Cricetulus griseus: one gene and its partner. The protein of the gene in region 1 binds, or shares a complex with, the protein of each later gene. Links are inferred from orthologs where the notes say so. Each region holds a gene or a part of one and is shown on either strand. Other genes may lie near its edges.

Region 1 (3,641 bases):
TCCTCCCAACAGATGGGCTGCGAAAACACCTCTCTCTCCAGCCAGAGCTCATAGGAATAGTGGAAATCTTCAGGCAGATCCAACCTCTGCCCCAGCACACTCTGCAAGCAGTTATCCACAGGCGAAAACTCTGAGTCCTGTGGTTTATCATACCGGCGGCTGTTAAAAGCCTCAATGTTGGCCCTCAGGGTACACTCTTCAGCTTGGAAGTCCCATGGCCTGGCATCAATGTCTGACATAGGAAGAGAGGAAGAAAAAGATAAATCCTGGCATTACTCTCTTCCACAGAGCACGGTCTATGGCAAGCTAACAATGAAACTGCTCAGAATGTTCTTTAAGAGCAATGTATGAAGCAGACAGGTAGCATGTTTGCAGGTTTTAAAAGTATAATATGATCACATATAAACTAATATATACAGAAATTATCTTTGAATTATAGAAACTGGTAACAGTAGTCACTGTTGAGGAAGGAGATGGGAGAGCTTTTTATTGTAATTCCTTGTTGTTTGTTTCTTCTTTTTTTTTTTTTTTTTTTTTTTTTTTTTGGTTTTCCAAGACAGGGTTTCTCTGTGGCTTTGGAGGCTGACCTGGAACTAGCTCTTGTAGATCTGGCTAGTCTCGAACTCACAGAGATCCACCTGCCTCTGCCTCTGCCTCCTGAGTGCTGGGATTAAAGGTGTGCGCGCCACCACCGCCTGGCTTTTATTCGTTTTTTTTTTTTTTTTTTTTTTTTTTGAGACAAGAGTTTCTCTGTAGCTTTGGAGTCTGTCCTGGAACTCACTCTGTAGACCAGACTGGCCTCAAACATCAGAGATCTGTCTGCCTCTGCCTCCTGAGTGCTGGGACTAAAGGTGTATATCACCACCACCCGGCTTTGTTTCTTTCTAGTAATCATGTTATTCAAAAGAGCAATTAAAACCTTTTATTGAGCTTTCTCTAGGGGATGAAAATTTCCCATTTGAGTAGAATCACCTCTCAAGGAAGGGGAGATTGGAGCAGAACATGAGGAGTCAATTCTAGACCAACTCAGCTGGGCATATTGTGGCATATGTCTTTACTCCCAGCATTTGGGAGGCAGAAGCAGGCAGAGAACACTTGAATTTGAGGCCAGCCTGGTCTACATAGTGAGTTCCAGGCCAGCCAAGGCTACATAGTAAGACCTTGTCTCAAACAAACAAACTACTGTAAGTATGCAAACATTTTACCATATCATAAAATTAGTATCATATTTTGGGGCTGGGGAGATGGCATGAGGACCTGAGTTTGGATCACTAGCACCTATGTAAAAGCCAGGGGTTGCAGTGTGCATTTATATAACCACAGTGCTGCAGGAGCAGAGACAGGCAAATCTCTGAGCTCAGTGGCCAGCCAGCCTAGCCAAATTAGTGAGCCCAAATTTTACAAATACTCACCATTGCCATAAGCCCAGTCATCATTCATGCGGTGGCGCACCTTCTGGTAAATGGCTGACATAGTCTTCATGTTGCTTTTCCTCCATTGGCGCCCAAGGTACTTGGTCTGTATCTTTAGTAGCTTCAAAACATAAAGTTGTAGCATGGCCTGTTTGACTTTGAGGGCTCGCTTTAAGATTGGAGCTGATTTAAACACCACCAGCATCTGCCCAGTGATACAGAGACAGAGTGACAAAAAGTCCATCGTCATGTGAAGTTTTTAGAATTTCCAACTCAGACAATATAGACAACTCTGGTTATCCTATGAGACCCTGAGGATCTAAGGTTCAAACTGCTTAAGAGTTAGTCTTAGAGAATACAAAAGAACTATATAAGGAGTTTGAGACTAGCCTAGGGTAGTGAAACACTGTCTAAAACACACACACACACACACACACACACACACACACACACACACACACACACACGAATTAAGCCAGACATGGTGGCACACACTTGTAATCAAAATATTCAGAGGCTGATCATGAGTTCAAAGCCAGTCTTGTGATATACAAAAAAACAAAGAACTAATTCATTTAAAGTTTGGCATAGCACTTAAGAATACTTGTTGCTCTTCTAGAGGACCTGGGTTCAATCTCCAGCACCCTCATTGTAGTTCACAACCATCTGTAACTCCAGTTCCAGGGGATCCAATGCCCTCCTCTGTCTGACCTCTGTGGGCACCAGGCACAAAGTGGTACACATACATACATGAAGGAAAAACACACATAAAATGAATAACTCATATGGAGGCCAGTGGACAATTTTCAGTTCTCTCCTTCCACTGTGGGTTCCAAGAATCAAACTCAGGTCACCAGGCATGCATACCAAGCACTTTTCCCAGCTGAGCATCTCACTAGCCCTGGAGATAATTTTGACTATAGCTATGTCACATACGTATTATTTTGTATTTTAACACAAGTAATAGCCAAGTATACTGTTCTATATCATGATTAATTTTTTAAAATTGTGTGTGTATGTGTATTTGAGTACATGTATCCTTGGGGACAAGAGACATTGGCTCTCTCTGGAGCTGGAGTTGCCAACAGATGTGAACTGTTTGACATAGGTGCTAGAAACCAAACTTGGGTCCTTTGCAAGAACAGCACATTAACTCACTCCCGAGCCATCTCTCTAACTCACATATCCCACAGGATCTCTTTATCTAGATCAGGCTTGCCTTGAAACTACAGAAATCCTCCTCGCTTCTTCTTCCTGAGTGCTGGAATTAACGGCCTCTTTAAATTTAATAATATATCTTAAAATTACTCCATACCAGCAGAGACATCGTTCTTTAAAATCGTTTATCATATACTACTTTAAGGAAACACCACAATTAATTTATGCAGTTGGCCCTTGTTAAAGAATATTAAGTTGTTTCCAGACTCTCATAAGCAGCATCGCAATGAATGTTAGACTTGCATCATTTTTGGATGTGTAACTATAATCCAAATGTGGCTGGCTTCCCTTGTTAGAGCTGCCTTAAGAGTGTTGTCTATATTTAGTTTCCTGAAAAGAAATGGACCAGTGAGCAATCATCTTGGAATAAGTGCCCAGAGTTAGGAAGTGCGGAAACTTAGGTAGCATTCACCAGCTATCTATCTTTTCCAGGCAGGCAATCTACAAATACTAGTGATTTAACAATTCAGTTGAACGGATACCTCTGTGATCTAAAGTCCTGCTTACCATGGTCCGGGAGTGCTTCCATTTGGTCAGTTTATTGAGCAGCCTCAGGAGGTTGATGCAGGAAAAGAGGTTCCTCCAGCAGAACTGGCTATTGTCTCCAGCTTCCTGAAATAAGGGACATCCATCAGTATCTCAGCACCGACAAGGCTTTCATTCTCCTGGGAGACTGCATGTCCCGGTTCGTTAGTTTAGGTGAATATTCCAGTATGAAATGCTGCCTCTTAACTTCCTGCCCTTTATACACCAAATCTCATTTCTGAGGGCATAATAGCCTTTACCTGAGAACCTATAGCTGGGCTGACTGTGTAGCTCAGTAAGAGGGTACTTGCATAACATGTGCAGAGCTGTGTGCCTGGATTTCAGACAAACAAAACAAAACAAAGCAAAAATAAAACAACTGAAATGGACACTTTGTACTCACAAGAGCAAGTTTGTAACTGCTAGGCATTTGATCTTATTCTGGTAGGTTTAAGCTGTATTAGGTAGAGCTGGTTCTCCTCCACC
Region 2 (5,475 bases), about 120 Mb from region 1:
GTACTATGTAACAACAACAAAATGAACTAAGCTGATATACTGTTACTACTTTTTCAAAACGAAAAGGCTGTAATCTGTCCTAGTTACACAGAGGTAGGGGTGACTACTATCTTCACCAAGTATTACAACATAATTCCACCCATATTTATTAAACTTACATTTAAAAGTATACACATGATGAGAATGAACTATCATTTTATACTATATATACATGCATATACATATATATATATATATGTATATATAATCGGAACCCATTGCAACATACTAAAGGTTATCATTTTACAGCTACTCTCTTCAACAGAGGAAAGCTCTTCCACACAGCTTCCCTTGTACTCCTGTTTTAAAAAGACGAACAAACCTTACCGGACACAAATGAGAGAATAAGGAGCAGCGATGAAGTACACCATATGTTTCTGTTGTAGGCTGAATCCAGGTCTTTGTTTCAATATTCCAGCGCCAGCCGGGAAGGAACGCTAAATTAACCACTATTCAAATTTATTCTCTCATTATTGCGGTAAAAGTTATACTTATGATAGGTTCAGCCCAAACCCATCCTATCTTATTATTTGCTTGTTTAATCCAGATTTTTTGCAATCCCAGGAACCTGCAATACATAATCGCCCTGGATAACAGGTCCGAAGCAGAACAATCTGATAAACCAACACAAGCGGCAGGCACTGAAGAGAACAAAGTTGTTTTCCTAGCGAAATAGTTCCGAAGTGATTCTATATCAATGCCATTTTTGCTTTTTTATCAGCTACGCACCTATCTAGACACTGTCCACCTGGTTCTCAATTAACAGGGCTTTCTTCAATCTTGGGATCTCCCAGACCAGTTTTAATGGTGCAACTCAAAACAAAATCACTAACCGCGCCCTTATACATCAGAAGGAATTACCTTTTGCCTTTTTCTCCCAACTATAGTCCAAAATTGCACATCGTTCCCCTGAAAGGGGTTGCAATGCTATCTTAAGCCAACATAACACTCTTTCAGCTCTGCCCTGGCGTTCCTATTGTCAGATGCCGTTCTTCCCCCGGCGGTGTGCTGGCGCCGGCAAGGGGCACCCACGCTTACCTCCCGCACACCTGCACTCCCGGGCTCGGGATGCTGGAGAGGATGCTCGGCGGGCTGTGATCGCTCAGGATCCTGCTCCTGCCTCTCTCCGGGGAAACTACAGAGCAAGCAGAGCCTAGGCTTCTACTGAGACTCAAGCTCCGCCTTCCCCTCCTCTAGTTGGCCGGACCTCGGGCTCCGGCTCCTCCCTCTGCCGTTTGCGCAACCCGAGCTGCAGGCGGCGCGAAGCCTTACTGAAGCAAGTGTCTCGGCTCCTGGTTCTCTGTCCACCCCCCCCTTCCCCCCACCGCACCCACCCACCCTGAGTCGCACCTGGAGCTTCTCAGGTCAGGTTTAGCCCCCTCAGTGAGCCGGCCCAGTGTACACCAGAGTGGGCTGTCCTAGGGAGTACTGACGCTTCAGCCCAAGCGAAGCCCACGCCTCACCCTCCCTCCTCCACCCCCCACAGTCCCCAGAGGCTTCCTCGCAGCCTACCCAGGCACCCAACCCAGCTGCCCGTCCCCTGCCACCTCTGGTCCCCCGCCCCTTTCCTTCCACTCATCTGCGAGCCCCGCCCATCAGTGGGCACGGCGTCTGAGGGCCGGCCTTGCCTTCTGATTGGTGCAGGTGAGAGCCGGCCCCGCCCTTCCTCCGTTTCTGGGCGCTCTCCCTCTCCGTCTCCCTTCCTCCCGTGAAGGCAGGGAACTCTTTTCTTATTCGCTACAAGTGTCCCCACCTATCGCCCTAGGCGTTCTTGCGGGTCCTTCTGGGAAATGTGGTCCTAGGTCTGCAGGAAGTGCTGACGGAACTGGCGGGCGGAACTACGAATCCCCATCGGGCCTTGCGCGACTCCGGCTGGGCAGGATTCCGGACAACGCCTGGTTCCTCTCGGGTCCTTCCGGCGTCGCCGGAGTGAATTGATCCGGGAGTTGAAGAGGGCTCCAAAGGTGGGAAGTGAAGTCCGTGCCTCAGTTGCTGGTAAGGCGAGCTTTCTCGGTTCGGGTCCTCACGGCTCCGCCGGGCAGCGAGCGCGGCTTGGGGTCAGGCGGGGGCCGAGGCGGAGACGCTGGGGCTGGGCTCTGGCCGGAGGGCGGACGGGCGGGGAGCGGGGCCCTCTGGGCGTCAGCGAGGTCTCTACGCGAGGTGCGTAAAGCCGGTTTGGAAATGCCGCTTACCCGGCGCGGCCCGGCACCTCCAGGAAGTCCGCTGTGGGTGCGAGCGGAGGGGAAGGGTGAGGTCGGCCTCCCGAGTCCCCGCCGACAGAGGGGGCGGATGTGCTGGGGTGGGGTCCCCGGCAGGTGAGGCTGGAGCTGTGTAAGGCCTGGAGAGAGCGTGGGAGCCCGGGAGTCGGCTCCCGGAGTGACTGGGGTTATGCCCTTTGAGGAAAGAGGAGAGCCGGTGTTGACAGTTCCGACTCAGTTCCAGTTTCCTGATGTGGCCTCTCTAAGGAGGTAACTCTTAACTAGAAGTGTTTGTCCCTTTTAACTCTCATACGTCAGATGGCTTTACTCCTGAACTGTACTCAAAAGCGCTTTCGCTTTGGGATGCTTCTGAGAAAACTAAAGGAGTAAATGACGTGTCCAAGGTCACACAGATCTTCTGAATCCAGTCCGCTGAAAGTCCAGGTTCTGACCAGAGTTGTCTGCTTAGATAGAAAAGTGGGGAGTTGCTTGGTAGGTGCTCGAAGCGGATAAAAGAAGTTGCAAAGTTGAGTGTGCGTCTCAGAAACGTTTGGGAGGTGAAGAGTTGGTTGCTTGGGGTGGAGTGAAATCCTTCCCAAAGCAATCTTCTTTAACGGTTTGTTAAAAAGGGAAGGGTTGTTTTTTTTTTTTGTTTTTTGTTTTTTTTTTTTTTAGCTTAGATATTTACCCTTTTTCCGAAACATACTAAATGATAACACAACTTCCATGAGCCAAAAAGATAGGTAATATTTAGCAATAAGCTCAGCGTTGCCATTAAGAGAATAGTCCTTTCCTGATTTCTGAAACTAAGATTAAAGTACGGATGAAACTTTGACAAAACTTATTTTACACATTTTAATGTTTTCATTGAGTGATAATTAAATGCAGAATCATGGAGAAGTTATAACATGGTCGTTACCTGAAATGGCTTTTTTTTCTGTCTGAGGTTTTTGGTTCTCATTTTCTTCACTCCATGTGTAAGTAGTAAAAACCAGGACTTGTGCATTTTCTTTTTCTTGGCATCATCTGTGACTTTTAATTCATTCTTAATGTTAAAGAACGGGAAAAAAAAGGATGCCTGTATATTGAGTAAAAAGCAATGCACTTGTTTCAAACAAGTTGACTAATTATAGCTGATAGATATTACTAGATAGGTTGTTGATAGAATTGTACTTTTTTATTGAAGACAAGGTTCCTTTATAAGATTATACTCATAAACATGCATATTTATAGTTAGTAGGCATCATATTATGTAAATTAAAATATTAAATACATATATACTGTAAATAAATACACAATATTTTGAATGTTTTGCTTGCCATGATTAATACTAACAATTTATTTGATTTTTTTAATGCAAAACTTTTCTGGGGTCAGAAGAATCTTTGTTCCTCTATGGTTCAACTTAATATGGACTTGTTTTACTCTGACCTTTAAAATAAATGGAGAGGTATGGTATTATAGAATGAGACAGAAATCAGGAATGTAACACGCTGCATACATATAATACACAATAAGGAAGAAGCAACTAAACAAAAGGAAAATTATGTGGGGTTGATTTTGAAGTAGATTAAAATGGTGCCTTAGTTTGAGTGGGCCATATATAAGTCTAAACTTGTAAAGCAAGGATGCCAATATATTTTCTAGATGACTGTGGACATTTGCTGTTTGTGGGAAAGGTATGAAATGAGTTTTAACATAACTTTGTGGTTCTGGAAAGACTTTCTTTTTTAACTTTTTAAAATTTAAATTAGAAACAATCTTATTTTATATATCAATCCCAGTTCCCTCTCCCTTCCATTCTCCCATGCCCCCCACCGACCCCCATCCCATCCCTTTTCTGCTCCATAGAAAGGGTGAATCCTTCCATGGGGATCATGAAAGTCTGTCACATCATTTTGGGCAGAGCCTAGGCCCTCCCCTGTGTGTCTAGGCTGAGAGAGTATCCCTCTATGGGGAATGGGCTCCCAATGGCCTATTGGGACCTAATGGTCCATTAGGGATAAATGCTGTTCCATTACCAGAGGTCCCATAGACTGCCCAGGCCTCCTAACTATTCAGGGGGACTGGTTCCATTCTATGCTGGTTTCTCAGCTATCAGTCTGGGCTCCATGAGCTCCCCCTTGTTCAGGTTAGCTGTTTCTGTGGGTTTCTCCAGCCTGGTCTTGACCCCTTTGCTCATCCCTCTTCCCTCTCTGCAACTTGGATTCCAGGAATTCGGCTCAGTGTTTAGCTGTGGTGTCTGCTTCTGCTTCCATCAGCTACTGGATGAAGGCTCTATAATGGCATGTAAGGTAGCCATCAATCTCATTATAGGGGTTAGAGCATTTAAGATAGCCTCCTGGAGAGAATTTTTTAATCAAAAGGAAAAAATTAGTTCTTGTCTACTCTAAATGTATCTGTGTCTCTGAGGTCCATTTTACCTGTAGTGTTTGATCACTACAATTGTAGTGCTGAAATGAATGATGTTATTGCTGTATTTAAAATCCTTCAGTCGCTAGCTAGAATTCACAGTGGTTTGTTTTACCTGTAGTGTTCAGCTCTTGGTGCCCACATTTGTTCTCTAAAGTAGCTTTGCATCAACTTTCAGATATTATTCTTCGTAGGCCTTTGGAATTCTTCCTTATATAGTCATCTCTCTCTTAAAGGGTAGTCTATAAGAACAAGAGCGGTGTATTAGTTATCTTTATAGCCTCAGCTGAAGAATAATTGAGTGGCTCCAGAGAGTAGAAAAGGCTTGGGTTGGTTTAATGACTTGCCCAATGTCATACGATCTATAACACATCCAGGTCTTTTGACAATAGGTATTCTGCTCAAAACTGTGATTGTTTTATGTAAGAAAAAGACAGACCATTACAGATGTTTAGATATCATGACCCTCTTACTCTGTTTAATGCCACCAGTTTGTCTTCTATTTCTGTCCCAAATGGCTCCAATCTTATCCTCAACTATTACTTTGCTAATACAAGATACTTTCTGATCTGGGGACCGTTTTACAAATCCGACCTCTCCACCTGTCCTATTTCATCTTCCCTTTCCCAGTGTGGTTGATTCCTGCAAAGCCTGGCTTACTCTGAATCCTCCTTCTGCAAACCAGGATAGGTTGCTGCTCTGTCTTCCCTGTATTCTGAACTCTATTGGCATTGTCACAGTAGGAACTTACTATTTCTATACTGATTTAATATTTGGTCATCTTACTAAAGGTTATCTGGACAAGGGATTCTCATTTGTTAGAACT

Evidence for each region. Proteins that work in one complex are often made in the same cells at the same time.
Region 2: Strip2 (region 1) and Pdcd10 share a complex: the UniProt entries of both Homo sapiens proteins name them as parts of the core of STRIPAK complex. The link is inferred for Cricetulus griseus from reciprocal best matches to the Homo sapiens genes STRIP2 and PDCD10.

Annotation. Positions count from the first base shown.
Region 1 is NW_023276806.1:197,863,486-197,867,126, forward strand, and holds part of Strip2 (striatin-interacting protein 2), read right to left. Parts: intron 3,243-3,641; coding exon 3,138-3,242; intron 1,618-3,137; coding exon 1,413-1,617; intron 233-1,412; coding exon 1-232. UniProt on the Homo sapiens protein: Plays a role in the regulation of cell morphology and cytoskeletal organization. Required in the control of cell shape. Calmodulin-binding scaffolding protein which is the center of the striatin-interacting phosphatase and kinase (STRIPAK) complexes.
Region 2 is NW_023276806.1:78,251,701-78,257,175, forward strand, and holds the start of Pdcd10 (programmed cell death protein 10), read left to right. Parts: upstream 1-1,882; 5' UTR 1,883-2,034; intron 2,035-5,475. UniProt on the Homo sapiens protein: Promotes cell proliferation. Modulates apoptotic pathways. Increases mitogen-activated protein kinase activity and STK26 activity. Important for cell migration, and for normal structure and assembly of the Golgi complex.